4 linked regions of the Xenopus tropicalis genome follow. The protein of the gene in region 4 interacts with the protein of the main gene of each other region in a pairwise test. Links are inferred from orthologs where the notes say so. Each region holds a gene or a part of one and is shown on either strand. Other genes may lie near its edges.

Region 1 (7,785 bases), about 49 Mb from region 4:
AAACATGTACCAAACTACCCAAACATGAAGCCTTTTTCCACTGGCCAGTACTTTTAAAAAAATGTACTTCCTGGAGTAAAAAAAAACGTAACAGAGCAGTGTTCCACCATTTTCCCAGGCATCTTTAGAATGTTATTGTTGCTGACATGAAACAGAGTTGATTCTTACTGGACAGTATGACTGAACATAATTTAGAACTTTATCATTCATTTGCCATTTTAGCATTATTTTCTCTCAGTCATCTTTTATACCCCTTATGGAGCTGGTTATCTTACTTTAAATTTACAGGTATTTTGTATGTGTTGTCTTTTTATAGTTTGCTTTAAATATTTTTTCCTTTGCCTCTACAATGAAAAAAGGAGCAAAGAAATAAAATCAAACAAGCAAAACTAATATGTTTGTTTTAGCGCCAGTATGTATTTCATACGATATGTGGACAGTCTGATGACTGATGAACAAACTGCTTGATTTTTAATGATGTACACCAGTAACAGTACAGTACTTATAGTGCATACCCCCCAACTGTCCCGCTTTTAATAGCGCATCCCGCTGTCCCGGATAGTTCCATGAATGTCCCGCATTTCGGGACAGCGGGATGTGCTGGTTGGAGAGGCTCCTTGTGGCGGCGACAGGCCCTTTTATAAAGTTGCACCCCGTGCGTATTGACATCACACGTATGCAGGGGGCCCAAACTTATAAAAGGGCCTGTCGCCGCTGCATAAGGAGCAGGAGCCGCTGAAGAAGAAGGAGCATCTATGGGGGGGAAGGGAACTGTCTATGGGGGCACTGTCTATGGGGGGTACTGTCTATGGGGTCAACTGGGGGCACTGTCTATGGGGTCAATTGTGTATGGGGGTAGTTTCTATAGAGGCACTGTGTATGGGGGCTACTGTCTATGGGGTCAATTGTGGGCACTTTCTATAGGGGGTACTGTCTATGGGGGCAATTGGGGGCACTGTGTATGGGGGGTACTGTCTGTTGGGCCTTTGGGGGCACTGTGTATGGGGGGAAAAACTGGTACATAGTTATAACTCACTTATAACTGACTGCCTTCTCACTATATTTGTATTTTATATTTAGGTGTTGCTATATTGTTTTCCTTAGGTAGTACAGTATGAGGGTATAGCAAATTTTGCGTCTGATCCCACCATTTCAACTATATAAAAGGAGTATTTTTTGAAAAAAAATGGGGTGTGGTAATTGGGGCGTGATCACAAAAGTGGGCATGGTCAAAAAATTGCGCGCTAAATCTTTTTGTCCCTCTTTTCATTTTTCAAATGTTGGGAGGTATGATAGTATATTAGTGTACTAAATACTCTGGGTGTGTAAACTGTGCATTTTTGGTAGGCCAGTGGTGCTCTTAGCATTTTTTTGTCTGGAGTAGATATGCCAGTAGAGAAAAGGCTGATCTGCTCAAAACTGCCCTGGTGCAAATATGCATCTTGACAATTATATACTGTGCTGCTAACATACTTTATTTTGCTTAGTTTATATTTTCTGGGATGTGGTGTAGGGTGTTATTCTGTTTGAGAGTTTATTATGGATTGCAGTCAGTGTTGAGCCTAAAGAAATTGCAATTGGGCCCCCATCTGCAATGCACCCCACTAAATGAGCACCCTACCTGCCATCCCTATAGCGATAATGCATGCTGCTGGGCCCTGTGGGACAGGCCCTGCTGCATTTATACCCCCTGCCCCAGCTGTAGTCACACCACTAATTCCAGCATGGCTTTTACTGAAATAAGTTCACTGTATTCAAGTGGACTGTGATTCTAACCTGGAGGGGCAGATTTATGATTGTGCAAGCCTTTTTTCCCCTGAAGCCCTGTGTGAGTTCCTTAACCCACATGGGGCTTTTTATGATTGCTGGAGCCGAAAGGCTTGAGCAATCATAAATCTGCCCCATAGTATTCAGACAAACTAAATCTCACCCCTTAAAATAGCAGTTCAGTGTAAAAATGAAACTGGGTAAAATAGATAGATTGCGCAAAATAAAAAATGTTTTCAACATAGTTCGGAAAAAATGTAATCTTTAAAGGCAACCAATCAGTAATTTGATGGGGGAGTTGCATATGGGACATAACTGTTTAGTTAATTAGTTGAATCTGACCAGCGTGCTCACAAACTAACTGAACAGTTTACTGTCCCATGTGCCCCCCCCTAAAGTCATTGACTAACTAAGAAGTTAGAGAGCTAAAAGGAGGAAGTAGTGTTCTGGCTATTATGTTAGACATCTATTGACTCCAGCCTTTATAGATTACATTTTTGTCTAACTAACAATATTAGAAATATTTTTTATCCATTTTACCCAGTATATTCAGTCAAACCTAAAGATAAATTATGTGGTGCATCCCTACTGGGTATAGCAATGTAGGAGACAAATTGCCTCTGAAACTGCTTTTAGACATGTACCAGCCCCTAAATGCTTTGACAAACATATTTTTTTCCAGTAGTACTTTCTCTTCATGTGTCACTGAACTTGAAAAAGGCAATGTCCTCCTTTAGCAATAGTCATGTTAGATGGTGTAATATGAGTTTATGTTGGACATGCAACAGATGGTGTAATTATAGTACTTTATGCGTATGCTCCTGAATGATGGTGGAAGCCTTATGCGCATGAGTTCTTTATACACATCAAAGATTTGATGAAATGCTCCTATTATGATCCTGAAAAGTAGGAAGAATAAGATAGTGACATCCGATCTTTCCCTGTGCCTGACCCCTGCTGTTGCGGCTTTTAATATCTCAATATTCAGGGACAGTATAAAAACAGAACAACAGAAGAATGGTAAGGGGATTTGGATTAGGAGCTCCCTAAAGTCATGGGGAATAAGCAAACTATTTTCACTGCTGAACAGCTTGATACATACCAAGTAAGTTTCTTACTCTTACTTTCTAAAACTAGAAGGTTTTTGTTTCATGTGTTTGGTAACTTAAGTATTAGTTCTTGCATAAGGCAAAGGTTTTCCTTAGATGCTAAATGGCGCTATTTATATATATAAACCAAGATTTATCTATTTTCCAATAGTAATTTTTTTTATGTATTTTAAATGCCACACCACAACAGAGAGACTGTGATATATCATTGTTAATATTTATATTAAATATTGTTTTTTTCCCATCTTTATACATTAATCAGACATGTTCACAAGTGTACTATAAAGATTCAAGTCCACTTGTGATTTTCTAGGTTAGAAAATGGTATATACAGTGCTTAGCATTTAAGTAGCAGCTCCATCATTTTAGGATTTTTAAAAATATACTATTCTTTATTTTTATAACCTCAACATATTCCTGCCGCACTTTACAGAGTTTGTTATTTATTTACATATGCTCCATTGCAGTTTTTCAAAGGAAAAGTTGAAAGCATCAGTATACCAGCTTTAGGTTTCTTGTCCCTGTTTTACAAAAAACTGAAATATTGAAAGCTGGCATAATTCAAGTATAGCCTTAGAAGACCAAAACACTGCATACCTACATGTAAAACCTATGTATCATTTTAGGCTGATTACACATGGAGCATTTTCTTAGCGAACATAGTTCAGCCAGCAGAGAAGTGCCCAAACTGCCCTAGGTGCATTCCATTATTTGTAATAATGACCCCCTGACACTGCCAATACTGGAGGTTTTTTAACCTAAAATGCTCTAGGGTGCATTTTAAGAATGAAAATGGCCAGTACTAGAGTAGGTGGGAGATTTCTCAGTAGGCAGAAATATGGATATAAAGCACTCTGTTTGCCAAGAGCCTTAAAAATCACTCATTTATACTTTTGCTAAATGGAGCCGTAGATTAGAACTCAAATATGTGCTGTATAGATATATCTTATTGGATAGAAAAACTACTTTAGGACAAAAAATGATTGAAGTGTAACGATTACAACAACAAAAATTACTATTTCTTCAATAGGGATGGCAGTTTAGAATGTTAAAAATACAGGGGGTTGTGGTAGCACTCCAAGTCCAATTATCGAACAGATAAAGTGTAAGGGAAGTGTTACTGATCTGACCAATGCTGCTCAGTACTATTTTCATTATACTTTGATCACAGCCCCCTGTATCTATATATTTCAGTGGAGTTATTTTGCAAGAACGAAGACCTAATTTGCAGGTGGTTGTAGCACCCCACCCAGTATGTAAAAGGCAGTCTTAAAATTTTCATTGTTTGGCCAAAAATCAATTCTTTAAAAACACAAATGCATTTACAAAGAATAAATTTCTAGTAAAACATAAAGACCAGGGAATATATATTAATCAATTCCTTTATTAGAATCTAGTCTGCATGAAGTCAATAATTAAGTGATTTCCAACATAACTAGATATGCATTGTTGAAAATGCTAGTCATCCACTGATTAGGTAGCAAATATAAAGGGCAAAGTAAGATTTACATGCAAACCTAGTTAAGTAATTCTGATTTCACATTACAATACTATGCTAGTCCTGTGGCCTGGTTTTCTTGGTTTCTGATACCCCTTCAATTCGTATACCCATTACAGTCACAAAGTCTTACCTCATTCAGTCTTGAGACCTAACCTAATATAATGAACCTTCCTGATCATGTCCTCTAGGCTTGCCTCTAAAGGGTAAACCCTTTCCTGGTACAGTTCTGGTCTTTTGCCTAACCCAGTCATTCAGCCTTACCTTTATGATTTCTAAAGCTTTATTGGTTTCAGCCCAGTAAGTAGCCTTACCTTGCCTTTTGCAGTCCTTCGGCACTTGTAGCTTCATCTTTTACACCCCTATGGTCCTGCCAGTCCTTCAGCCTTCAGTCCCTATCTGCTTTCCAGAGCCTTATCTGTTCCATTTCTGTAACCTTATTTGTTTCACTCCTGCTGTCTTAGCCATTTCAGTCCTGCAACCTTAAAGGGGACCTAGTTGAGTAAAATAAACTTGATTTACACTGTATGAATTATTTAAATGTTGTTTTTTTCAGTCTTGGAATTGACAATCATAGCAGGTAGGCAGGCACTATTTTGTGGGTACTGTTATTATAGAGATACTGACACCAGAAATGCAACCTTTTTTTATATTTATCATAACATTGTCTTTGCATGCTATTTATAATGTTGTACAGCTTTTTATGTCTGGGTGACATGACCCCTTTAACCCTGTAGCCTTACCTATCCTGGTCCTATTAGTTTCAGCCCTGCAACCTAAACTCAATTTCAGTTAAATAAGCAACCTGTTTAGGGCATGTTATTTTGTCTGTGAAGTCATGAAGCCTTACTTTTTCCAGTTCAGTGGTTATGCATATTCCAATCAACCTGCATTTCCAGTTACATAGCCTTACCCAGTACTGTTGTCTCTTTACAGTTCCATGGTACAGTCTCTTTAGACTCTGCAGTTTTATCTGTTTTTCCAGTCTTGCAACCTTGTCTAGCCAGTAGTGTAAGCTCATTAATATACAGGCCTTACTATGTTTGGTGTCTGGAACCTCAGTTAGTCACAATATTTAAAGCATATCAAAATTAGTAATTAGACATATTAGTCTTCTTTAATTGATGAAAGTTGATGATTTAAATTATCCTGCTATCATGTCTGGTCACTGCAATACTATATATATATATATATATATATATATATATTAGCATGTAGAACACAGAGCACTCATGGGACTTAATTATGTGCGAAAATGTAATGGTGTAAGTTAAAGGTCCTATGAGTGCTCTGTGTTCTACATGCTGATATTGTTTTTTGAGGCAGCACCTAGGCCTTTCTCGCCTTTTTTTGGGTGAGTGCACTGCCTTTCAAACTATATATATAATTTGAACACCCTGATCCTTTTATACTCATTTTGCCTTAGTTTACTCAAGGGTCAATTTTGAATTCGAACCTTTTAGGTGCTGTTCAAATTAACAAGCTTAAATTACTTATAGATTTGATTTACTGTGTCTGGCTTTGTAGACTGTTTGGGGGGACAGAAAAAAAGTGATAATTTTTATTTGTTTTAATTGTAGGATTGCACCTTCTTTACAAGAAAGGAAATACTCCGGTAAGCAAGGCCAATTACTGTTACAAATAATATTTGTATTAAATTATACATATTCTTTAAAGTATGTAATGTGCACACCAGCAGCATTACTACTACCATAACTACCCTGCAACCACAGGACAGCCCAGGTCAGAGGTGGGCTTGGGGTGAGAAGTTTGCTGTATGGTTTCAACTGGAGCTCCTTGTCCACTCACTGCACAAACTGCCTGCTGGTGGATACTGATGGTGTATAATTGGATGGGGGGCCATGGGAAACTTTTCTGTAGGCGGCCCTGCTCCCTATCATTATGCCACTGATGCACGCCAGCTACCATACAGCTAGTGAAACTGATGCAAACAAAAAAATCTAAATTAGCTTAGAAAAAAGCAAGCTTTGTATCTAATTCCCCCTAATGTCCATCTTAATGTACTGGTCTACCTACATGATACACTAACAGAGATTTCTGTATATTTACTATATGTGCAAATATCCAGACAACCACTGCCAAACTTCAAAATGTCTCTGATATGGAGGCTATGAAAGATAAATCCATTTAAGGGGGTGGGGGGTACATTTTGTGGTAAACTGCAGCACTCATCACTAAAAAATTTCCATTTGTTTCGGCCTCAATGAAATGAAAAATTGGGGGTAAAACTTGTGGGGATTCTGATGCAAGGTCTATGGTTGTTTTCTAAAACATCCATTCAGCATTTGTAAATAGATTTTAGCAACACTTTTTTCTGAGGCCCTTGCACCATAAACGGTTTTCACTAAAAAGGGACATGTATTACACTCACTGCATATGACATCTTTAAGAATCAATTAATGTAATTCTTATTAAATACTTCATTACTTTGTCCATGTCAATTTTAATTTCTGATATAGTGTTATTTTTTTATCCGGTGCTTAGAGCAGAGTACGGTGCAAAGTGCAGCGCAAGTGTTCCTAGAACGAGCACTGTGGGACATGTACTTGCACTTGGGCCCCCCGGGGTTTTAAATGACCCCTTATATTTTCTGGTATTGATCGATGGCTAACACTGTACAACACTCTGTTACTATAAATAAACAGGTCTAATAATTAGTAGAACCCCTATCAGCTGCTTGACATGAAAACATGACCATGAAAAATGCATGATGTGAAAAAATACAGGTGCTTCTAACTGACATTTTCTGTTAATTTCATAAAAATATTAGAATTTCTGATGAAGTCATGAAACCATATGAAATGTGGATCACTTATCCTGACTCCAATACAGTTTGCCAGTTTGTAATAAAGGCAAGTTTGATACCCTGCGTTGTTTTTTTGGCTGGGGATTATATGAAACATTACACTCAATTACACTCAATAGTAGATTGGGCTGAAATATGACTCAAGGCTGTGGAGTTCAGCAGAAGGGCAGTGGCACTGTTCTTGTAACGATAAAGCCGGAGTTCTGCCAAGGATATACAGTGCTGAGAAACCATTAGATGGTCTATGTTTCATAATAATGTGTATATTTTATTAATAGCATGGTTACAGCCAAATCTTATTATAAGTCTGAATAAATCACCCAGAATTATATATTATGAAAAAAACACTTGTAACGTTAAAGAAAGACAATACCCCCAGAATATTTAAATTTAGATTTAGTTCCGCAAGAACATGTTATTTTAAAGGAACAGTAACACCAAAAAATGAAAGTGTATAAAAGTAACTAAAATATAATGTGCTGCTGCCCTGCACTGGTAAAAGTTGTGTGTTTACTTCAGAAAGTCTACTATAATTTATATAAATAAGCTGCTATGTAGCCATGGAGGCAGCCATTCAAAGGAGA
Region 2 (7,027 bases), on a different chromosome or scaffold from region 4:
TAACCAACACAAGAGGTAAAGAGGGCCCCGCCCAAAAGAGCTTACAGTCTAAAAGTTCAAAAGGTATTGCTTACAGTATAACTGTATTGTAATAAAACTATAATGGTGGCCTCACAGCGAATCAGTTCTTGGGTTGCTGGGGTCAGTGACCCTGAAAACTCTTTAACCCCTTGTTTGTTAAATGATTGTAAGACCCCAGTTTGTTGTGAATGAATGGGAAGCACTGTGTACCTTGCTGCCGCTATATAAATAATGGTGATGGCACATGGAGTGTTTTGATGGCCAACAGACTCAACACACTCAATGGTCCATTTAATAACATTTGAAGTGACAACAGGCGGACATTGGTGTTTTGCCCCTTTGCCTGCCACTGCTTTACTGTGAATGCAGTAATGGCCAAAATGCCCTGCATGCCATTAGCCGACAAAAAGACCAATTGTAACGCTACTAAAAAGGTTGTTATAATGCAGCTACATGGGATTTATTATCCAGAAAGAATAGAATAGAATAGAATATATCTTTATTGTCATTGTCACATAGTAAACAACGAGATTTAAAGTTTGTAAATTACTTGAAGGCCATCTCTCATAGACTCCATTACAACCAAATAATTCTATTATAATACTTATTTTAAAAATAATTTTCTTTTTCTCTCTAATAATAAAACAGTACCTTTACTTGATCCCAACTAAGATATAATTACCCCTTATTGGGGCAGAACAGCCCTATTGGGTTTATTTAATGGTTAAATGATTCCCTTTTCTCTGTAATAATAAAACAGTACCTGTACTTGATCCCAACTAAGATATAATTACCCCTTATTGGGGGCAGAACAGCCCTATTGGGTTTATTTAATGGTTAAATGATTCCCTTTTCTCTGTAATAATAAAACAGTACCTGTACTTGATCCCAACTAAGATATAATTACCCCTTATTGGGGGCAGAACAGCCCTATTGGGTTTATTTAATGGTTAAATGATTCCCTTTTCTCTGTAATAATAAAACAGTACCTGTACTTGATCCCAACTAAGATATAATTACCCCTTATTGGGGGCAGAACAGCCCTATTGGGTTTATTTAATGGTTAAATGATTCCCTTTTCTCTGTAATAATAAAACAGTACCTGTACTTGATCCCAACTAAGATATAATTACCCCTTATTGGGGCAGAACAGCCCTATTGGGTTATTTAATGGTTAAATGAATCCCTTTTCTCTGTAATAATAAAACAGTACCTGTACTTGATCCCAACCAAGATATAATTACCCCTTATTGGGGGCAGAACAGCCCTATTGGGTTTATTTAATGGTTAAATGAATCCCTTTTCTCTGTAATAATAAAACAGTACCTGTACTTGATCCCAACTAAGATATAATTACCCCTTATTGGGGGCAGAACAGCCCCCTATAAAAATTACTGGAGGCAAAACAATCCTATTGGTTTCAATGATATATAAGTAGCCTTAAGATATGGAGACCCAAATTACGGAAATACCCCCAGGTCCCGAGCCTTCTAGATAACAGGTCCCATACCTGTAGCTGCTTAATATCTTGATAAAGGCCTGAAGACATGGATGGAACTTGTAGAGTTATTCCTATTTGTTATCCTGATAACATTGTTAGCCCATTGCTCAGTGCATCTCCGTGCAGTGTTGATGAAGGGGAGGGGGTCCTGCCTATACCTGATAAGAGAGTAGGCCTGCAGGGGAAAGATAACATGTTACCGAGCAGCCTCTGTAGGAACAAATACTATACAAACTCTGTGGCTTCTCAGAGGAGAGCGTAGCTTCTATTCTCTGTCCACAAAGAAAGAATGAGAGAGAAAGCAGGAGAAGTAACCTGGAAAAGGTCTGGAGAAGGTCTGGAGAGTTAATTTTAAATAGAGAGACTGCTGGGTAATGTGCATTAGTGCAAAGGCAATGTGTAGAGTGCGAGAGGATGGTTATGCCTGTCTGGGTGAGTGTAGATGTGATAAGGCTGAAGGGATGGAGTGCAGAACTAACGGTTGGAGTCAGAGAGGACAAAGTCTATTTCAATGGGTGCAGAGTTGATGTATAAAACTGGAGAGAATGAGTTTAGTTTAGTTGCTTGAGCGCAGATGTGAAGAATATATATATTGAGATTTTGTTGGGATGTGTAATGTTGCGTTGGGGAAGACAAACGGTAGTGTCACAAATGGAGCAGGGTTATACTGACACTAAAACACTGCTCTTCAAAATTTTAATGTACATTAAAAGTTACTTATAGGTCATGTAGATTGTTTTTCACTGATAGGGCTGCTTTTGTAAGTAATTGTTACTTGCCAACCTGACTGTCCCTTCTCAGCCTGTCAGTTACAGCTTCTAATGCTAACCGACAAATATGGCCGCCCCCTCATAGAGGAACATGGGGATCTGATAATGTAAAAGCATTGGGCAAAAGAGTTAAGGCAAAAGAGTAAATAGCATGCAAAGACAATGTTATGGCACATGTAAGTAAGATTCATTTTTGGTGTTAGTATCTCTTTAAGAGCGAAGATTGTGCAAATAAACGTAATTCTCTCTCTTTGTTCCAGCTCTCTAGGCTGCCAGAATGATTCCCGTTGCAGAGTTCAAGCAATTCACCGAGCAGCAGCCAGCCTTTAAAGTCCTCAAGCCCTGGTGGGATGTCCTGGCTGAATATATCACTTACGCCATGCTCATGATCGGGGTCTTTGGCTGTACCTTGCAGGTGGGAATTTCATATTCCATTCTTAATCTTTCCATTCTTTTCTTTATTTTGCTATTTTGTGCTGTTCTCCCATCTTTTGTGTATCTTCTGATTCCGGTTACACGGAGGCCCTGCCCTCAGCAGCTTATGAATACATCAGGAAATAATGCAGACCTTGCTATTTACCCTTTATACTCTGTACAGAGTGGATTTTGAATACAGACAGGGTTTCCCTGTAGATTTCCACAGATTGGAAGGAAACCATGTTACGTACAAACTGTTTTCCAACCCTCCTTAGGCTCACAGTGTAATCCAACCCCTCCCTCACTTTGCCCCATTTTCAACTGATGGATATTGAGGCTTTTGCCACACGTTACATTTTTATACCGACAAAGAAATCCACTGCCTTCTGCTCCAGTCTTTAGAATACACTTCCAGGTACTCTATCACCACGCACAGATCAGATTTCAGCTGAAAAAAGGCTAAAATATTCATTTTTTTTTGGCAGAAAAGTTCTTTTTTTATATAAGCCAATTGAATGAGCTTATGTCAAAAGTTTGTATTATCACTATTTTCCTGATGTGTTGTTTACTATCTCCTTCTGCACATAGAGCAGGGTGGTGTCACTGTTGTTCTTGCTGGACTTCAAATTCAATCATATTTAAGTGCCTCTCTCAAGAGCAGGATCAGTTACCCTTTATTTGACAGGTTCATTCACATTCTGCAGAAGTGCCATCCTCCGGACCAGGTCTGCTGTGCTCTGCGAGGATCAAGTCTGTATATTCAGTACTATAACAGAAAATTTAACATTTTAAGGAAAACAAAGTACTAACCCAGCACACAGGGTCCTGGGGGCGACACTTCTGCATAGAATTTCAACCTGGGGCATCTGTATAGCTTTACACACCGGTTTTACTACAGAATAACACAGACACAAGGTCTGAAAAAAAATTCTGAAGTTTAAATGTGGCCATACACGGGCAGATTTAAGCTGCCAATTCAGGTCCTTTAGACCGCTTATTTGCCTGTGTATGGGCCTACCCGACCGATAACTGGCCAAAAATTGCCCTGATATTGTTTGGGCAAGTTTGATTTTCCAATCAGATTGGTGACCGCATCGGCTCGTTGATGCAGTCCTTTGCTAGGGCCAAACAATCACATTAGCCTGATATTGCCCACCTTAGATGGGCATATTGGGAGCAGATCAGCTTGTTTGGTGAGGTTGCAGCGTGTATGATCACCTTATGTCCACGGGAAAATGGTATTCATAAAAGGGGTACAAAAGATGCCAACAGTATTGCTTTTAAGAACCACTGTTTTAGTCCTAAGTTTTAAAAACACGGTGTCGGGATATGCCGAAGAGATAGACAGGACTACCATCATTCTACGTACCCTACTGTGGCACAATATGCCAAAGTGATAGCCTGGCCTACCATCATTCTACATACTCTACTGTGGCATGATATGCCAAAGTGATGGACTGGCCTACCATCATTCTGCGTACCATACTGTGGCATGAAAGGCCAAAGTGATAGACTGGCCTACCACCATTCTACGTACTTTAGTGTGGCACAATATGCCAAAGTGATGGACTGGCCTACCACCATTCTATGTACTTTAGTGTGGCACAATATGCCAAAGTGATAGACTGGCCTACCATCATTCAACTTACCCCGTATAACTACATTTTGATTGACCACCATGTGCCTGCCCATGACCTGCCCATGTATGCCTAGGATTTCTTTTTACAGTTTACTGCTCGAGATCATTTTCTTATAGAAAGTTTGTTTTCTTTAATCCACATCCTATTGTCAATTTTATTCCAACCAGTCAATTCTCAGCTTCACTTTTGCATTTATTGTTCATTTTCTGTTGCTTTGGTGCCATTTTGTTCCCTTGCTGAAGCTGTTCTATGTTTACATCCCAGGTTACTCAAGACAAGATCATTTGCCTCCCCAACCACACTTCTGCTGATGTTGTTTCCCAAATAACATGTCAGGAGTATGACCAACAGTCGCCCCCATCCAATGATAGCGACCTTGAAACAACTATTCCACCACCAACTGCTACTTCAAGTCCTCCTCGGGAGATGAGTGGTCTACGCAACAACCTAGACCTCCAGCAGTACAGCTTCATTAATCAGATGTGTTATGAGACCGCGTTGCACTGGTATGCCAAATATTTTCCATATTTAGTGGTCATTCACACCTTGATCTTTATCATCTGTGGGAACTTCTGGTTCAAGTTCCCAGGCACCAGTTCCAAAATAGAACATTTCATTTCCATACTCGGCAAGTGCTTTGACTCCCCTTGGACTACACGAGCCCTGTCTGAAGTCTCGGGAGAGTCTAGTCAGGAGAAACCCAGTCAGGAGAGGAGCATCGATCGAGAGCTCTCTAAACCAAACTTTGAGGAGGGCAGCCCTGCTACTGCTGACCTACCAATTGCAGAAAAACTAGTGGCTGAGACTTCTTCGGCTAGTGTATTGGACAAGAAAGAGGGGGAACAAGCCAAAGCCCTGTTTGAGAAAGTGAAGAAGTTTCGGCATCATGTGGAAGAGGGTGACTTGCTCTACTCGATGTACATGCGTCAGACTGTGCTAAAAGTGTGTAAATTTGTGCTGATAACAATCTACAATGCAGTTTTGGTGGGAAAGATTCACTTCATTGTTCCCTGCAGTGTTCATACAGAGGATATGACTGGCTACAATAGTTTCTGTTGCAACCACACTAAGGCCCACCTTTTTTCCAAATTAGCTATAACCTACTTGTGCTTTTTGGGTGTCTATGGCCTCACTTGCCTCTACACTCTGTACTGGCTCTTCCGACGCCCTCTAAAGGAGTATTCCTTCCGGTCAGTTAGAGAAGAGACTGGAATAGGGGATATTCCTGATGTGAAGAATGACTTTGCCTTTGTGCTACATCTGGTTGATCAGTATGACTCTCTCTACTCCAAAAGGTTTGCCGTATTTCTATCGGAGGTGAGTGAAAGCAGGCTGCGGCAACTGAATCTCAACCATGAGTGGCCAGCAGACAAACTGAGACAAAAACTTCAGCATACACCAGAAGGTCGACTTGAGCTGCATCTCTTCAAACTCCCAGGCTTGCCAGATACAGTCTTTGAGGTTGCAGAGATGGAGTCACTTAAGTTGGAGATGGTTAATGAGGCTCTTATCCCACCATTGGTATCTAAGCTGGTGAGGCTGGAGGAGCTGTCCCTTATCAACTGCACAGCCAAAGTTCAGCATGCCTCCTTGGCTTACCTTCGGGACCACCTTCGGATACTGCAGGTAAAGTTTGACGACATTAAAGAGATACCTTTGTGGATCTTCAGTCTTCGTGCTTTAGAGGAGCTCCACCTCTTTGGCTGGCTGTCACAGGACTTATCTAAAAACCCAGCTTTAGAAAGTCTAAGGGAATTGAAGAGTCTGAAGGTGCTTACAATAAAGAGTAACCTTTCTAAAATCCCAGCTACTGTTGCAGATGTGGCCGGCCACTTGCAAAAATTTAGCATTCACAACGATGGAACGAAACTCCTGACCCTTAATGCTCTGAAGAGGCTCGCTCTCGTCAAAGAACTTGAACTGGTACGCTGCGAACTGGAACGTATTCCCCATGCAGTTTTTAGCCTCACTAACTTACAGGTGTTGGACCTAAAGGAAAACACCCTTCACACAATAGAGGAGATCATAAGCTTACAACACTGTCGGAAGCTCAGCGTTCTTCGTTTGTGGCACAACCAGATTGCCTACATCCCGGAGCATATCCGTAAACTAAAGGGTCTTGAGGAGTTGTCCTTAAATCGCAACAAAATTCTGGTGATTCCCTCCCAGCTGTTCCTCTGTAACAAGCTCAGACACCTTGACCTGTCTAACAATGAAATCCGGGAGCTTCCTCCAGAGATCGGGGTGTTGCAGCTACTTCAGTACCTTGGATTAAGTGGAAACTTTTTGGAGGATCTTCCCAATGAGTTGTTTTTCTGCCAAAAACTAAAAACTTTAAAACTAGGGCAAAACAGATTGGGAAATCTGTCCCCGAAGGTGGGATCCTTAGTTTGCCTGGTAAAACTAGAACTCAAAGGAAACCGAATGGATACGTTACCTCCTGAGCTAGGGAACTGTGTGAGCCTAAAGAGATCGGGCTTGACTGTGGAACCCTCCCTGTTTGAGACATTGCCAGTAGAAGTGAGGGACAAACTCAAAGAGGACTGAAATGGGCATATACAGTATGTAGTGGAAGGACTGAGCAGAAATATGGAGGTTCGTTAGGAACATGGAGAGAGAAGGGTATATAATCTGATGAGTAGTAAGCAGAGTATGCAGTATAGAGAGATTACAGAAGA
Region 3 (7,921 bases), on a different chromosome or scaffold from region 4:
GACAGAAAGATAAGGCCTATAGTAAACTTTTCTTATTTAACTGTGCCAGAAACATATTTACCACTCATGAGTCTGTAAGCCCTATTTGGCTATAAAATAGTCAAAACCCAGGCTAGTGTAGGTGTTAGAGCATGGGGTACGTGACTCTCTTAGACAGGATGGGCCTTCGCTATATGGAAGAGACCTGCGGAGCAAGGGTGCAGTGCAGATTAGCAAAGATGGACACCAGAAGGTCCTTGCAGTTAAACTATAGACAGATTTATTGTCAGAGACAAGTAGCAATGCAGGGTTATACTCACAATGTAGATACAGATGTTAAATGATAGTAGTACTCTGAGGACAACAAGAGAGGATGCACACCGGTTTATCCCACCTCCTTTTAGAGTCTGGGCAGGGTAAATGCACTTGGTCAGATTGACACCCCTTTGGAAGCAGTCAGGATAGATACCTCAGTCCTCAGGTTGATAGCCCCTAGCTTTAAGAGTCCCTAGCTTTAAGAGTCCTACAGCTGACTCTGGATCAGGGTTTAAGTACTGCCTGTCATCTATGTCTTAACCGTGGCCCTATGCTTTGGCAACATTGCCTGTATGGAGGGATACTTCCAGCTACTTTCCTTGGTGGAGCTGAAACTGTGCTTGCTTCCATCCCTCTCTATCTCACTCTCCTAGAGAATGCTCTTAAAAGAGTAACTATCTAACTGGTCCTTGTGCACGGGGTCCCTGTCCCCGACTTCTCTAGAGTATAAGATGGTAACCCTAGGGCAATAAGACTTTACTGGGGCCTTGTTCTGATCCCAGGCTAGTGACCTGTTCCTGAGACACAGAGGAAGCCACACACTCCTGCTAAGCACTATTTTGGAGTGCAAGGGGTGTGATCAACCAAATAAAGCAATAAGGTATAATAGCAAAGGATAAACTAGATACATGGGTCTTTTCCCAGTAACAGCATAAACTAAGGAAGTAGTAGGGTTTAAAGCAATAGGGGCAGATTAACCCTATGGGTCCCTACAAGTGCTTTTGATGGGTGAGGATAAGTAGATAGATTACTGTATGAGAACTAGGGGGCCTCACAGTGGCTTACAGCTGTGGCACTGAATGATAGAGGTTTGGGCAATGGGCAAACTGCAGTAAGCAGATACTACACAAATATCTTGTTCTTCGGGTGCTGCAAATTAACATACTCTTGCTCTGTATTTCCACATGCTTTATTGGTTTCTTCTTCTCAAAATACTTACATATAAGCCCTATATGCATGTTCTCTGGTTCTAAGCCTATCTATGACCCTAACTACATACAAACATGCTGGGACCTACTCTCATAGCACTAAATCTTCTGTAGCTCCTAACAGTCCAGCTCCTGCATGCTTCATATGTAACTCCGCCTAGACCAGTGATCCCCAACCAGTGGCTGGTGAGCAACATGATTCTCACCAACCCCTTGGATGTTGCTCTCAGTGCCTGCAAACCAGGTAGTTATTTTTGAATTTCTGACTTGGCAAGTTTAGGTTGAATAAAAAAAGATTTACTACCAAATAAAGCCCCCTGTAACTGATAGTGTGCATAGAGACTACCTAATAGCCAATCTTGGCCTTTATTTTGTCTTCTTACATTTGACTGTGGCTCACGAGTAAGAAAGGTTGGGGAGCCCTGCACTAGACACTCAATCAGCACTAACTCACTATAGCCTTTTTGGAGTCTTTATTTTGCCCTATTCAGCTTGCTGCTTTCTGACTGGCTTATCCCAACAAATACTATTTTTGGATTCTAAGCTAATATACTCCTAACAGCATACTTTGATACTAGTTTTTCAAATGCTCTGCATGGTTCCCTATTCCACCATTTGTTAATTACAGCTCAACTAAATTTTCCCAGTATGCCCTATTTAGGGCCATGGCAGACGGGGAGATTAGTTGGCCGCGACAAATCTCCTCGAAATACCAACCCAACGGCAAGAATGTAAATCGCCGGTGGGATCACATACGCAGCACGGGGTTTCGGGGCCGCGTATGCGATTTACATTCTCGCTGGTGGGATGGCATTTCGGGGAGATTAGTCGCCCGCGACAAGGGAGATTTGTCGCGGGTGACTAATCTCCCCGTCTGCCACGGTTTAGAGCTGTGACACACTGGGAGATTAGTCGCGTCTGGAATGCCATCCCACCGACTAGAATGTAAATCGCCGGTGGGATGGCATACACGGCGCCGCAATTTGCTGAAGTTTCCTCTCAAGGAAACTTCGGCAAACCGCGGAGCTGCGCATGCCATCCCACCGGCGATTTACATTCTAGGATGACATTCGACCAATCTCCCCGTGTGTCATGGCCCTTAGGGTTTCTCCAAGGCAAGTTATATTGTTCTATCCCTGCCTGCCATCCTTACCACTGCTAGGCTGATCTTTTATATTGTTATAGGCCAGCATGCCTTGCCCAGGGTTTCTGGGCTACTCTCCATATTGCCCAGCCCCCCCCCCCCCATGCCATTCTTACAGCTCCTTTGCGCCTACATATACCGGCCAATCCCAGAATGCCCTGCTTATAACCAGCTACTCTTCATATTGCCTTTCCATCCAGATCTGGTGACCTAGTACCGAGATTAAGGTTTGTTCCTTTTCCCACTGCATTGTACCGTCCTCCGGAATACGCTGGCGCTATATAAATAATAATACTCCAAGTACTGCAATACCTTACTGCTAGCTACCTGCTCTATACCGGACACACAGCTCCCCCACCCCCCAGGCAAGGCTGTTTAGCTATATGCACCTGCTGCAGTATAAGGAGCCCCTCTCACACAGCGCTCCCACACGCTCTATAAGATAGCGCTCCCACACGCTCTATAAGATAGCGCTCCCACACGCTCTATAAGATAGCGCTCCCACACGCTCTATAAGATAGCGCTCCCACACGCTCTATAAGATAGCGCTCCCACACGCTCTATAAGATAACGCTCCTCGACCGTGAGAGGAAAAGGCGGCGCTGGGCAGCACCATCTCTCCGGACGGATCCACCTAGTTTGGCGTGTGGCTCCTCCCAGGAAGCAGTGACAGGCTTGTTTCAGCAGCTCCTCTCCATCCCTCCGCTCTGTGAGTGTGAGAGTGTCTTATTATTCCTCTCAATGCAGCTGCCATACAGGCAGAGCCCAAGCATGTCCTACTGCAAGCCGCCCCCGCCTCCTCTCTCATAGCACCGCAAGCCGCACACCTTCTGGGCTCGGGCGGGACCGCCGCATGCTGGGCTCGGCTCTGGGAGAAGCAGCAAGGTGGGAAGAACGGGGAGCTCTGTGCAATATACAAGAGAAAAGGAAACATGGCGAGCGACTCCCCGGCTCGTAGCTTGGATGAGATAGATCTGTCGGCGCTGAGGGTGAGTGATGTCTCTGGGGGGTTATTGTGGGAAGCTGCTGCTGCTGCTGCGGGGGATCCGGGCTGATAGGCTCTTTATTGTGCCAGTCCTAGGGGCGAGATGGAGAGCTGTCTATTCAGCCCGCACTGTGCTGCTCACTGATATGTGATTATTATACACAATAATGCTCATTCATCTGGTTTGCTGCTGTCAGTGCTCTCCTATTGTGAATGGAATAGCCATAGCAGAACAGTGTGTGAATAACAGGCACAAAGCCACTCATCATTATATCGCATTTGGTGAGCCACTTACACATAAAGATGTACATAGAAACCGAGTATATTCAGCCTAAAACGCAATATTAGCATTATGCATTCATGTGATCATCTCAGGAGTGGGGCGGACTATTAACAAGTAGGGGAAGGGGTCAATTTCTATGTATATCTGCTGAATGTGCACATAGAGGCTGTTGGGCAAATCAATTCATTGCTGTATTGAATGGTCGATGGCTAAACATCACAGCAATGCTTGCCTACCGCTGCGCTGCCTTCATTTCCCATTATCAGTGTCTGCTTTTGCCTCAGTCAGTACAGTGCAATAGGCTGTGGGGGATGCTGGAAGTTGTAGTTCAGCCGGCACTGGAGGGCCCCAGGTACATCACTGCTACAAGGCACATCAGGGTTTCTCATTGCTTCATGTCTTTATATAATGCCATTCTTCTGTTTTGTATGTATGCTATTAAATTTTGAAAGACACCGCCATGTATAAAGGCCACACTGACAAAGGCCACATTGTTGTGGGGAGCAATTTAGTATTCTCATTGGTGATTTATATGGAAGATTGGATTTAGCCTAGAGATCCAGTGCAAAAGGAGAGAATGCTCTTTGAATTCTACCACCAATCAAGCCCTTCTTGCAGTAGAGTTCCTAAGACAATAAGGTTGATGGCATAGTAACCGGACAATTCTCAGGTCAATAGGCTACTTTAATAATGGTAGATAATCGTAGATTTTTGTCGCTGCTATGTGCCAACTCTTACATTGGGAGCATATTTGGTTTAAATTGACTCCTTCCTCATTCCACTGTTTGTTGAGGAGCTATCTGTTTTCATTATCCACTGTACAACATACCAGCCATTGTTAGTTAAAGGGTGCCATGTTCGCTTTGGAAAAAGCATGTATATATACAAGTGGAATGCACGTAAGATAGCAGCAGTTTCTGGTCTGCAGGCACTTGCAACTCAGGCTTCCTAAAATGACCTGTGCTAATGAGGGCTGTGCTGTGCTAGCTGTCATGTTCACATGGTGTCTGTAAGAAACAGCATTCTTTGTATGGCTGGATGTGCTAGACTATTGTACAGTCAGCGAGATTAAGGATGGACATGGCTCGTAGGGCTGTTTAAATTGAGAGTCTTATGTCTGCTTCAGTGCTCGTGCTTGCTGGTTTTATCTCAAGCCTAAACAGAAATATAAAGTCAGTGGACCCATCATATCATTTGAATTAAACATATCTTTCTTAAATAATATCCTGCTTGTGTATCTGACTCTGCAAGTTTAAATAAATCCTTCAGGCTTTAGATGGATGCAATCTCTATTATGTTTTCAAGCTGTTTGTATTATGAATGTATGGGGCAAATCCACAAAGCATTAACCCTTTTATGTCTAAGGCAGCACGCCTTATGCTGTAGTTGTTTCAATCCAATTTTTGCTATTCTTAGAGGAAAACAATTTATGATCGTAGTGGAAGGTCAGAAACCATATTGATGGTATGAAGGTTTCCCAGTCATTTCACAGTGCCTGGATGGGGAATCAATAGTGCATTGGCTGCCTGAGTGGAAAGGATAGCAGCGCTTAGAGGTTTTTCTGGATTGCCATTAGTTCTTTTCCCTGCTGGCTTACCTTGAGATTCCTGTCAAGGGTCAAGTCTGTTGCAGAAACAACCTTGGGCACTGGACCTGTCCAAACAGAGCCTGACGAGGACAGCTTGTTTTATTTCTGCAGCGGGCCTGTCAAATGTTTGATGCTGTGAAGGCAGCCAAGGGCTCCAGAGTCACACACTCCCTTCAACTGCTTTTTAGCCACAATTTGCCACCCTTTATTGGACATAGCTGAATTTATGATGGTTCTCTTAAACATATTATTAAGGTATATTTTAGTATTTTATGCAATCCTTAATTTGGATTTAAATGAGCAATGTGCTGTTCTTGGCATTCAACAAAAAGCCAGCAGGTAGCATTCTGTATTATTTCACCCAGCACATATTGTGCTATTTAGCATTTCAAATCAATGCTTTGAAATCACAGGCTTGATTGAGGACTGTTAACCCATTTGCCACCAAAAAGGGCTGCTTGTGTCTTATAAGGAAAATTCAATTTCAGCAGAAGAAATTTGTTATACAGTATATACTATCAGTTTTGTCATGATGTTAAAACAATATATTTTGTCCCTGTTAGCTTGCGGTTGTGCCCTACTTTCAGTGTAAGCAATGCATATTTCCACAACGCCATTGAAGCTTGTTTTCCATTTATTTTGTGTGTGTGTATTCAACAGCTACTGTTGTTCATTTAGTCTAGTTGTTTATAAGTAGGCAAGGCAACTTCTGATTATAGAATTTGGGGGGTGACATTGTCAGTGTTTTATAAGACAGTCATTTAGGGTGATTATATGATCATACACTCCATATCTATCATAAGTTATGCAGTACAGGTATAGGACCCATTATCCAAAATGCTCGGGACCAAGGGTATTCCGGATAAGGGGTCTTTCTGTAATTTGGATCTCCATACCTTAAGTCTACTAAAAAATCATTAAACCATTAATTAAACTCTATAGGATTGTTTTGCATCCAATAAGGATTATTTATATCTTAGTTTGGATCAATTACAAAGTATTGTTTTATTACTACAGAGAAAAAGCAAATCAGTTTTAAAATTTGTAATTATTTGATTAAAATGGAGTCTATGGGAGACAGGCTTTCTGGATAATGGGTTTCTGGATAAGGGATCCCATACCTGTACTTGGTCACCATTTCTATTATGTTGTTTTCTGCGCTTACTTGTGGACATTGTTGATGGGACTGTGCAGAGTTTTTGTCCTTGACGTGATACAATGTGGCCAGTAAAGCTTTACCTTATGATGAAGTGCAGCACCCTTACTAAAACTTTTGAGTTTTTAGTAGGAGCATGTTCATTCTCTAACCCTTTTTGTCTAGTGACATTTATTAAGAAGCCAATATGAAAAACAATATCATACTTGCACTCTGCCAATAGATCGAAGTCTGTATTTGTCCCTCTTTCTCAAATGTGACAAGGATGTTTATTTACGGCTTCAAGTGCGGTTTTGATGCAAACTGATGGCAACTTAAGGCTAAAATGTTCTAGGCATGGGGCTATTAGTGTGTGACTTTTTGGGTGCAAGTTTTTTGTGCATTTAATGTGGCTGTGTTCTCCAGTGTCCCTCGGCATCCATAAGCACATTTTCGCTTGATACACTTGATATCTGGCCTAAAATTGGGCAGATCTCGAGCGGGCAGGTTTGATTTTTCCCATTGAATTAGGGGCCACATCAATGAGCCGATTCAATCCAACAGGGGTGACCTAGCTAAACAAGCAGATTGCACCGTATTAAACCACCTTTAGATTTATATGGTAAAGTGTGATTTGACCCATGTGTCTGCTAAAGAAACACTATAAAAGGAGTAGTGGTTCATGCAGATTGTACAGTAGGCCTTTGGAAATTCTCCTAGGGGCTCTGTTTCTGTATGCTGTGACATTTAAATATGTATCTTACACTTATTTATGATACCTGCTTTGAACTTTTTTTTTTGCAAAATGCTATAGTTTCACTAGGTCTTTATTCATGTAAAAAAAAAAATTATGTCATTTTATATTTTATCTTAGTATGGTAACCAGACATCATACATATTCCATCTGGGCAACAGACCAGTATTTCATAAGTCATTTTAATTCCATTGCGCTTTTAACATTTCTGTAAAATAGCTGTTAAAAATAGATTGTATTGAGTTCTGGAGATGTGCCACCAATGTATGGGAAAAAGCTTGTGCTGGCCAGGGATGCACCTGACTCAGCCTCTCTCATTGATCAGTGGAGGAACAGTGCCTTGACTTCCTAAAACACACTGTTGCAATCTTTTTTTTATTTAATACCTGGTTAAATATGGAAGGAAAGAATTTTGAAACCCACAGAGCATGGATCCACCAACCTGCTGGGTCCCTGAAATCATCCAGCAACAGAGAAACACAGCCACTTAAATGTTGTCAGCTTCAGTATTATTGGCAACTTTTTATTTTTTGTTATTTATTTGTGTTTTATTTGTTGTTTATTTTAATTTTAAATAAAGGTATTTTGATCAGTAAACATTTTTGAAAAGACGATTGATTGAGGAGTATTTACTGTTTTATATCCTGGTTAGATAATAAGACCTCACACAATAACAGAAGCCATGCCTAAATTTTTAGTTCTTTATGATCAGCTCTTATTCATTTGGATGATTAATTAATTAAAAAAAATGTCCCTAAAAGCAGAGTAGTGATTGACCATATACCATAAAGAGTTGGTCACAGAAGAGC
Region 4 (7,287 bases):
TATTGGAGCCAACACAATCCTATTGGGTATATTTAATGTTTATTTTTAGTAGACTTAAGGAGATTCAAATTACAGAAAAAAATGCCAGTTTCCAAGCATTCTGGATAATACAGTAGATCCGATACCTGTATTTGAAATGTAATTTCTTTTTTGTGTAATTTTTTTAATTATAAATAAAACAAACAAAAATGTAATTAATAAAAATAAAAAGCCTTCTACATATGGGTGCCTGTATTAAACACAGCCCTGTGGGTAACCAGTGATAGCATGCATTTAGGGAGCATGTGTGCATTAACGATGACCTGCGAGTGCCAAGTCATACATGTGGGTAGTAATTCCCATTGTTTCACTTTATTAGTTAAAAGCAATGTTCCCTCTAAGCTGTGTGCCTGTGCATTCATATACACAAATATTGAGACAATAAATTTGTGGCGCGCATAAAGAATTTTTTGTGTGAAAACATAAGCGTAAACTTCTTCTAATTTGTTGCCAACTTTTCTTTGTTAGATATTTTCAAATGATGGACAGTTTAAAAGCCGCTTCGGTATTCGAGGCAGGTCCCCAGGTCAGCTACAGCGACCAACAGGAGTAGCTGTACATCCAAGTGGTGACATCATCATTGCAGACTATGATAACAAGTGGGTCAGCATCTTCTCAGCAGATGGCAAATTTAAGGTATTTGTTTTTAGTATTTATATGTGTGGCTTGGCTTTCCACTTTGCTATTGCTTTTAACACTTTTTAAATATCTTTTTCAAAAGACCAAAATTGGATCGGGAAAACTTATGGGACCCAAAGGTGTTTCTGTTGATCGCAATGGCCACATCATTGTGGTGGACAACAAAGCCTGCTGTGTGTTTATTTTCCAGCCAAATGGAAAAATTGTAACCAGGTTTGGTAGCCGAGGAAATGGGGACAAACAGTTTGCAGGTACACTCGATGGTAATATTTAGACCACCTTTGTTGTGTGTTTCTAATATCTTGCATGCTGTGTAGGAATAATTTAGCATGTTGGAATGACAATTATGCATGTCTATATAATTACATGGTAGAGTGTCTGCATCTGGAACAGCATACCAGTCAATATTATTAACTTATAATTTAGTTGACACAGGGCAACCTAATAGTTCGTAATGTGCCCCATGCACTATGACTGATTTTAACCAAATTTATAAAAGAGATGGAGTCGCAAAAGTGTTATAGATCCTCGTGCCACATAAAGAAACCTCTGAAGACTTAAGTAGTTATAGATAAGAAACTAGTGTGAAAATAGTAATTGTATGTTTGGCTATTGGTACACTTTTGGAATCGGCATATTTCTTTAAAAAAAACCCAAAAAATACACCACAGTAGATTTAAAGTGCGTAATTTTATTAAATTAGTATATATGTCATTGTGTTATTATACAGCTAGATTTAAGTCTCTGGTACAAAAAAGTGGAAACGTAAAAATACTTGCATATTGTTATCATTTATATTGCCCACAAAGAGTCCGTTTAACATAAATGCTGCACATTTGGGGGGTTTTAATAAGGTATACCTTTCTTGTTGTGTTTTATAGGTCCTCATTTTGCAGCTGTCAACAGTAATAATGAAATAATTGTGACGGACTTTCATAACCACTCAGTTAAGGTAATGTAACCTGGGGAACGGGGGGAGCACTAACAGACTAGGGAATGTTTGATAACTTTGTTTGACATAGAGCTTTTATTCAGAATTTTTTTTCTTGAAAATGAGTGGACGATTTTGATAAAGTTTTATAGCTGTGGCGGTTTGCCTACTGAATTTGAGTACAAGGATGTGTTCTCTCTTTGTGGAGACTTGTTGTTTTTGCTAAATATTGCTAAATTGCTAAATCTGCACTCTTACGGTGATGCATACCATTCCCTTTTATCCAGAAGGCCATGTTGATTTTGCCATTTATAACACAGTAGAATGGCTGTTGGAAGTTTTCATGGAAGGCTGTCGCCAATCAGCCTTGAGCAGTGAAAAAAGATTTGCGTAATAAAACAAAAGAAAATAATAAATATGATAATTACACAAAAGTAAATTATTTTAAAGTTACTTGTAAATGTTCTTGCTAATAAAAATGCCATAACTATCTTGGTATTTATGTTCTATACATGCTTAGTAAAACAGTGTATAAACAGTGTATAAAAAGTCATCTCTCCTCTTTGCATAACTTCAGTTTCCCCAATGCCTTGCATACTGTATGATTAACAGAATTGTGAAGAAGTACAGAAGGCATTTTGCAAAGTTAAGTCTTGGCTGGAGGAAACCTGTCTTCTGCTAGATTGTCAGGAGAAGCACTATAGTAGTAAATAACAGGCAGATACTGCCTTCAGTTTTTTTAATTATGCAGAAAGTAATATATTTCATTGCTAGTCTTTTAAACAATACTAAAACAAGACGTATATGTAATACATTCTTAAAGGAGAAGGAAAGCTACAGATGCAGGTGATTCCCTAATAGTTTAGTCAAAATTGTGCAAGATACAATGCTATATTTATTCTGTAGAATGCTTTACAAAGTAAACAGCCCTAAAAGCTCTCTCTGTTTTAAAGGAGAAGGAAAGGCTAGTAAAGAGTTAATCTCAAAATGCAGGCATACCTTCAGTTATCTCAATAGTGCCCTTAAGTCTCCCCATATTTCTCTAATTCAGATGATCAGAAGCCAAACAGTAAGGAAAAACGCTGAGCTGGGTAGAGAAGATTCCCATAATGCATCGCTCATCCCCAGACTCGGAGACTTAGAACTGTAGGCAGCGCATGCGCAGAAACAGGAGGCTCCCCCTAGCATCTGCAGCGGCAGCATGAGACACAGGTGCTGGTAGGGGGGAGAGGCAAGGGGGACACGAGCGGCGGTGCTGGTAGGGGGGAGAGGCAAGGGGGACAAGCGGCGGTGCTGGTAGGGGGGAGAGGCAAGGGGGACAAGCGGCGGTGCTGGTAGGGGGGAGAGGCAAGTGGGACACGAGTGGCGGTGCTGGTAGGGGGGAGAGGCAAGTGGGACACGAGCGGCGGTGCTGGTAGGGGGGAGAGGCAAGGGGGACACGAGCGGCGGTGCTGGTAGGGGGGAGAGGCAAGGGGGACAAGCGGCGGTGCTGGTAGGGGGGAGAGGCAAGGGGGACAAGCGGCGGTGCTGGTAGGGGGAGAGGCAAGTGGGACACGAGTGGCGGTGCTGGTAGGGGGGAGAGGCAAGGGGGACAAGCGACGGTGCTGGTAGGGGGGAGAGGCAAGGGGGACAAGCGACGGTGCTGGTAGGGGGAGAGGCAAGGGGGACAAGCGACGGTGCTGGTAGGGGGAGAGGCAAGGGGGACACGAGCGGCGGTGCTGGTAGGGGGGAGAGGCAAGGGGGACAAGCAACGGTGCTGGTAGGGGGGAGAGGCAAGGGGGACAAGCGGCGGTGCTGGTAAGGGGGAGAGGCAAGGGGGACAAGCGGCGGTGCTGGTAGGGGGGAGAGGCAAGGGGGACACAAGCGGCGGTGCTGGTAGGGGGGAGAGGCAAGGGGGACAAGCGGCGGTGCTGGTAGGGAGGAGAGGCAAGGGGGACAAGCGGCGGTGCTGGTAAGGGGGAGAGGCAAGGGGGACAAGCGGCGGTGCTGGTAGGGGGAGAGGCAAGGGGGACACGAGCGGCGGTGCTGGTTAGGGGGGAGAGGCAAGGGGGACAAGCGGCGGTGCTGGTAGGGGGGAGAGGCAAGGGGGACAAGCGGCGGTGCTGGTAGGGGGGAGAGGCAAGGGGGACACGAGCGGCGGTGCTGGTAGGGGGGAGAGGCAAGGGGGACAAGCGGCGGTGCTGGTAGGGGGGAGAGGCAAGGGGGACACGAGCGGCGGTGCTGGTAGGGGGGAGAGGCAAGGGGGACATGAGCGGCGGTGCTGGTAGGGGGGAGAGGCAAGGGGAATGCAGCTCCAGACAGTTGCTGAGGAGAGAGAGGCACAGTGAACGTAGAAGCCATGTTAAAGATGGCGGCGCCGTTCACTGAAACAAGTATGTAGAATGTAGCAGTGTATCTCTGTAAATCTTTCATTAGGCAAGCTAGAAATATAGCGTTTTTACACAGCAATAGTAGTACTATTTAATAGTGTGGTTAATAGATTTTGATGTTCCTTCTCCTTTAAGACAGAAACTGGCATTTTAGCTTGATGTGGTGTCACTTCCCTCTCCTGTCTGTGTCTCTCTTAGCTCTTGACTTAGATTACAGCAGGGAGGGGAGAGGGAGAGGGGAGCAAACTGTGCAGACAGGCTGCCTTGAGCATGAAGGTTTAACTGAGAGAGGACTAAGAACAGTATCACAGTGAGTGTTACTGGGTGTATTTACATAGACCGTTATAATAAAGCTTACATGGTTTTAACCTTTCCCTCTCTTTTAGAAAATGAGGGGAAATTTCAATCTATAAATGAAACCCTGTAACTAACTTTTTATATACTGTACTCACATTTTCATTTAAACAATAAATGACCAGTAACATAACACACAGTTGTATATGCATAATACATAAATGCATTTTTTCACATTCAGTATTTCATACCAGAAGTCTTACTAAGTCAATACGTTAATAACTGATGATGATTGTTTGGTTACTGGACCAGAGCAAAATCTCCTCTTTTAATACATAACCACCAATATTTTAACTTTTAGTTTATTTATGATATTTGCAGGTATTCAACCAAGACGGTGAGTTCATATTAAAGTTTGGCTCAAATGGAGAGGGCAATGGCCAGTTCAATGCTCCAACTGGAGTTGCAGTGGATTCCAATGGAAATATCATTGTAGCTGACTGGGGGAACAGCAGGATACAGGTAACGTGCACTTACTCGCTGCACCTTGAGCAGTGGCCTTTGAGGTATGCACCTTGCACTGGAATAGAAATGGCAGCCAGGTACTAAACATCATAGGCAGGTGGTCATTACATGGCACCACAACACATTGGTGCTTCCTAGCTTGAATGTGTCATTTCAAGTGGATGTTCACGTACCACATCCTGCCTGCCCCTTATTCTTACAAAATAGTATGGTAATGTTGGTTAATTCTAATGTGAATGATTAATCTCCCAAGTATTAATGATAATTTCTCATATATGTATTTGTTTGTGTGTGTATGTATATATAATATTATAACCACTGCGTTCATTATTGTCTTTAGGTTTTTGATGGAAGTGGGTCGTTTTTATCTTATATTAATACATCTGCTGACCCACTCTATGGGCCTCAGGGACTTTCCCTGACATCGGATGGTCATGTGGTTGTAGCAGACTCGGGAAACCATTGCTTCAAAGTTTATCGATACCTGCAGTAGCTAAGGGGCCATAGCTTTATGGTAAAACTGCATTGCATTTGAACCAGCACCTTCATGCAAGATTGATTGGGAAAAAAATCATGCTTCTTAAGAAGTGAACTCCAAAAGACTTTGATTTTATTTAACCACGTTTACGGTCTGGTGATGACTTGCTTTTGTTTAAAGTGTTTCATCGCTATGAATTCAAAGTGGGCTTGTAAACGTACAAGGGGATGGCATTAACATGTTAGAGGAACCTTAACACAAAAATGTAAATGACTCATCTTGTGCACTTAGGTCTTAGACCTTTTAGAATATATACTCATGGAATGGCGACTCCATATGCGAGTTTCCAAATAATTATTAACCAGTTGTTATACATATCTCTCCAATGCTGAAATCTGAAAGTCTTCTAATCCATGTATATTGGTAGCTGTTGTGTTATAAAGTAGATTGTACAACTGTACATTAATATAGCATTGCAAAGAACAGTGTAATCAGTACAACATTTTTAAGCTGTTGTCATGTTTGTAATTATTACACAAATCTAAGCAGCCTTATAAGGCCATGTGCATTTCTATTTATTCTGTGGGAAACTGATATAATGAGCATACATTCAGTACATATTGTTTCATTTCATGCATTCTGACAATATTATTTTTTTATAAAACAGAAAAAATACAAGTTTCATATTAAAACGTATTCATAGTTTTTTTTTTTTACTTCTAATTTCCCATGAGGTCATGCTTTATTAATAACTTACTATAGGGAAGCAAAAAGGGAATCCGAACAATATTGCATGCTCCCTTCCTAATAAGACATCTTAACATATAAACATTGTTCTTAATATAATGAAAGCAGAAAGACAACGTAGGCTGCCTTGAAATGGATAAATAGCCATATGAAAATTGGGTTGGGTGAGTTGCATCTTAATAGCACTTTCCAACAATTTGAGTACAACAGTAATTCTGATAATCTGATTGAAATAATTTGAATCTGAAAAAATAGAAATTATCAAGGTGGGAGGATCGTATCTAAAATTTTTTTTCCCCCTGTGCACACCTTTTGCCTTACATCTTTTTGGTAGTGAAAAGAAACATAAAGGTGAACTGGTAAATGTATGGTTTTAGGCTATAGAATTGCCTGAAATCAGGGAAAGGTGGATCTGTTGGGAAAAGCTTTGTCTGTTTTAAAGTAAGATTTTGATAAAATAAACATTTTTCAGTTTTTTGAAGGAACACTGGAATGATATGTTTTAATCATGTCTTTGAAATTCTGTAAATCGCATTTGACCAATAAATGGCAAAATAACGACTTCCTGAGTCCAAGAGCTTGTTTTTATCCATATTAAAGGGATACAGTCTTGATTTTTATGGTGTACTTTTTATTACTAAACTACACTGTTTACATAGCAAATAATTCACTCTACCATTTAAAAATGTATTCTTAAACCAACAAATGTATTTTTTTAATTGTAATACTGGTGTGTAGGCAGCCATCTCAGTGTATTGTTCCTGAGTCTGAGCTTTCAGAAGGAGCCAGCGCTACACATTAGAACTGCTTTCAGATAAACTATTGTTTCTCCTACTCCCATGTAACTGAAGGAGTCCTGAACCAGACTTGGGTTTCTTACTATTGGATGCTATTCTGATATCTATTGGGAGCTGCTATCTTGCTACCTTCCCATTGTTCTGCTTATTGGCTGCTGGGGGGTAAGGGAGGGGGTGATATTACTCCCAACTTGCAGCTCAGCAGGAAAATGTGACTGAAGTTTATCAGAGCACATGGCTGTGGCACCCGATATGCCATCCCACCGGCTTGAATGTAAATCACCAATTGTGGCATATACGGCGATGCGATTTCCCAGAAGCAAAAATGTATTTTTAAAACAAAAGGGTTAAAATCAGTGGATTATTAGGCAAAAAAAACAGGATTGGTGGGCAACATGAGCATGGTTTACGGTGCATATTAGAGAAATCGTAAGTCTTGCAGTGCCTAAGAGGATCTGCTCTCTATCT

The links.
Region 1: the proteins of trim2 (region 4) and cib3 interact in binary tests that used the Homo sapiens proteins (3 or more experiments, as listed by UniProt). The two-hybrid records come from large-scale screens. The link is inferred for Xenopus tropicalis from reciprocal best matches to the Homo sapiens genes TRIM2 and CIB3.
Region 2: the proteins of trim2 (region 4) and lrrc8e interact in binary tests that used the Homo sapiens proteins (3 or more experiments, as listed by UniProt). The two-hybrid records come from large-scale screens. The link is inferred for Xenopus tropicalis from reciprocal best matches to the Homo sapiens genes TRIM2 and LRRC8E.
Region 3: the proteins of trim2 (region 4) and tnik interact in a two-hybrid assay, tested with the Homo sapiens proteins (2 studies listed by BioGRID and IntAct). The link is inferred for Xenopus tropicalis from reciprocal best matches to the Homo sapiens genes TRIM2 and TNIK.

What each region holds. Positions count from the first base shown.
Region 1 is NC_030677.2:104,259,910-104,267,694, forward strand, and holds the start of cib3 (calcium and integrin-binding family member 3), read left to right. Parts: upstream 1-2,533; 5' UTR 2,534-2,821; coding exon 2,822-2,872; intron 2,873-5,954; coding exon 5,955-5,989; intron 5,990-7,785. UniProt on the Homo sapiens protein: Acts a an auxiliary subunit of the sensory mechanoelectrical transduction (MET) channel in hair cells. Plays a role in regulating hair cell MET channel localization and function.
Region 2 is NC_030679.2:134,108,791-134,115,817, reverse strand, and holds part of lrrc8e (volume-regulated anion channel subunit LRRC8E), read left to right. Parts: intron 1-1,771; exon of another isoform or gene 1,772-1,857; intron 1,858-2,552; 5' UTR 2,553-2,569; coding exon 2,570-2,707; intron 2,708-4,613; coding exon 4,614-6,896; 3' UTR 6,897-7,027. UniProt on the Homo sapiens protein: Non-essential component of the volume-regulated anion channel (VRAC, also named VSOAC channel), an anion channel required to maintain a constant cell volume in response to extracellular or intracellular osmotic changes.
Region 3 is NC_030681.2:111,486,521-111,494,441, forward strand, and holds the start of tnik (TRAF2 and NCK-interacting protein kinase), read left to right. Parts: upstream 1-2,812; 5' UTR 2,813-3,299; coding exon 3,300-3,356; intron 3,357-7,921. UniProt on the Homo sapiens protein: Serine/threonine kinase that acts as an essential activator of the Wnt signaling pathway. Recruited to promoters of Wnt target genes and required to activate their expression. May act by phosphorylating TCF4/TCF7L2.
Region 4 is NC_030677.2:55,131,910-55,139,196, reverse strand, and holds the end of trim2 (tripartite motif-containing protein 2), read left to right. Parts: intron 1-507; coding exon 508-675; intron 676-760; coding exon 761-941; intron 942-1,559; coding exon 1,560-1,630; intron 1,631-4,653; coding exon 4,654-4,794; intron 4,795-5,137; coding exon 5,138-5,290; 3' UTR 5,291-6,584; downstream 6,585-7,287. UniProt on the Homo sapiens protein: UBE2D1-dependent E3 ubiquitin-protein ligase that mediates the ubiquitination of NEFL and of phosphorylated BCL2L11. Plays a neuroprotective function. May play a role in neuronal rapid ischemic tolerance.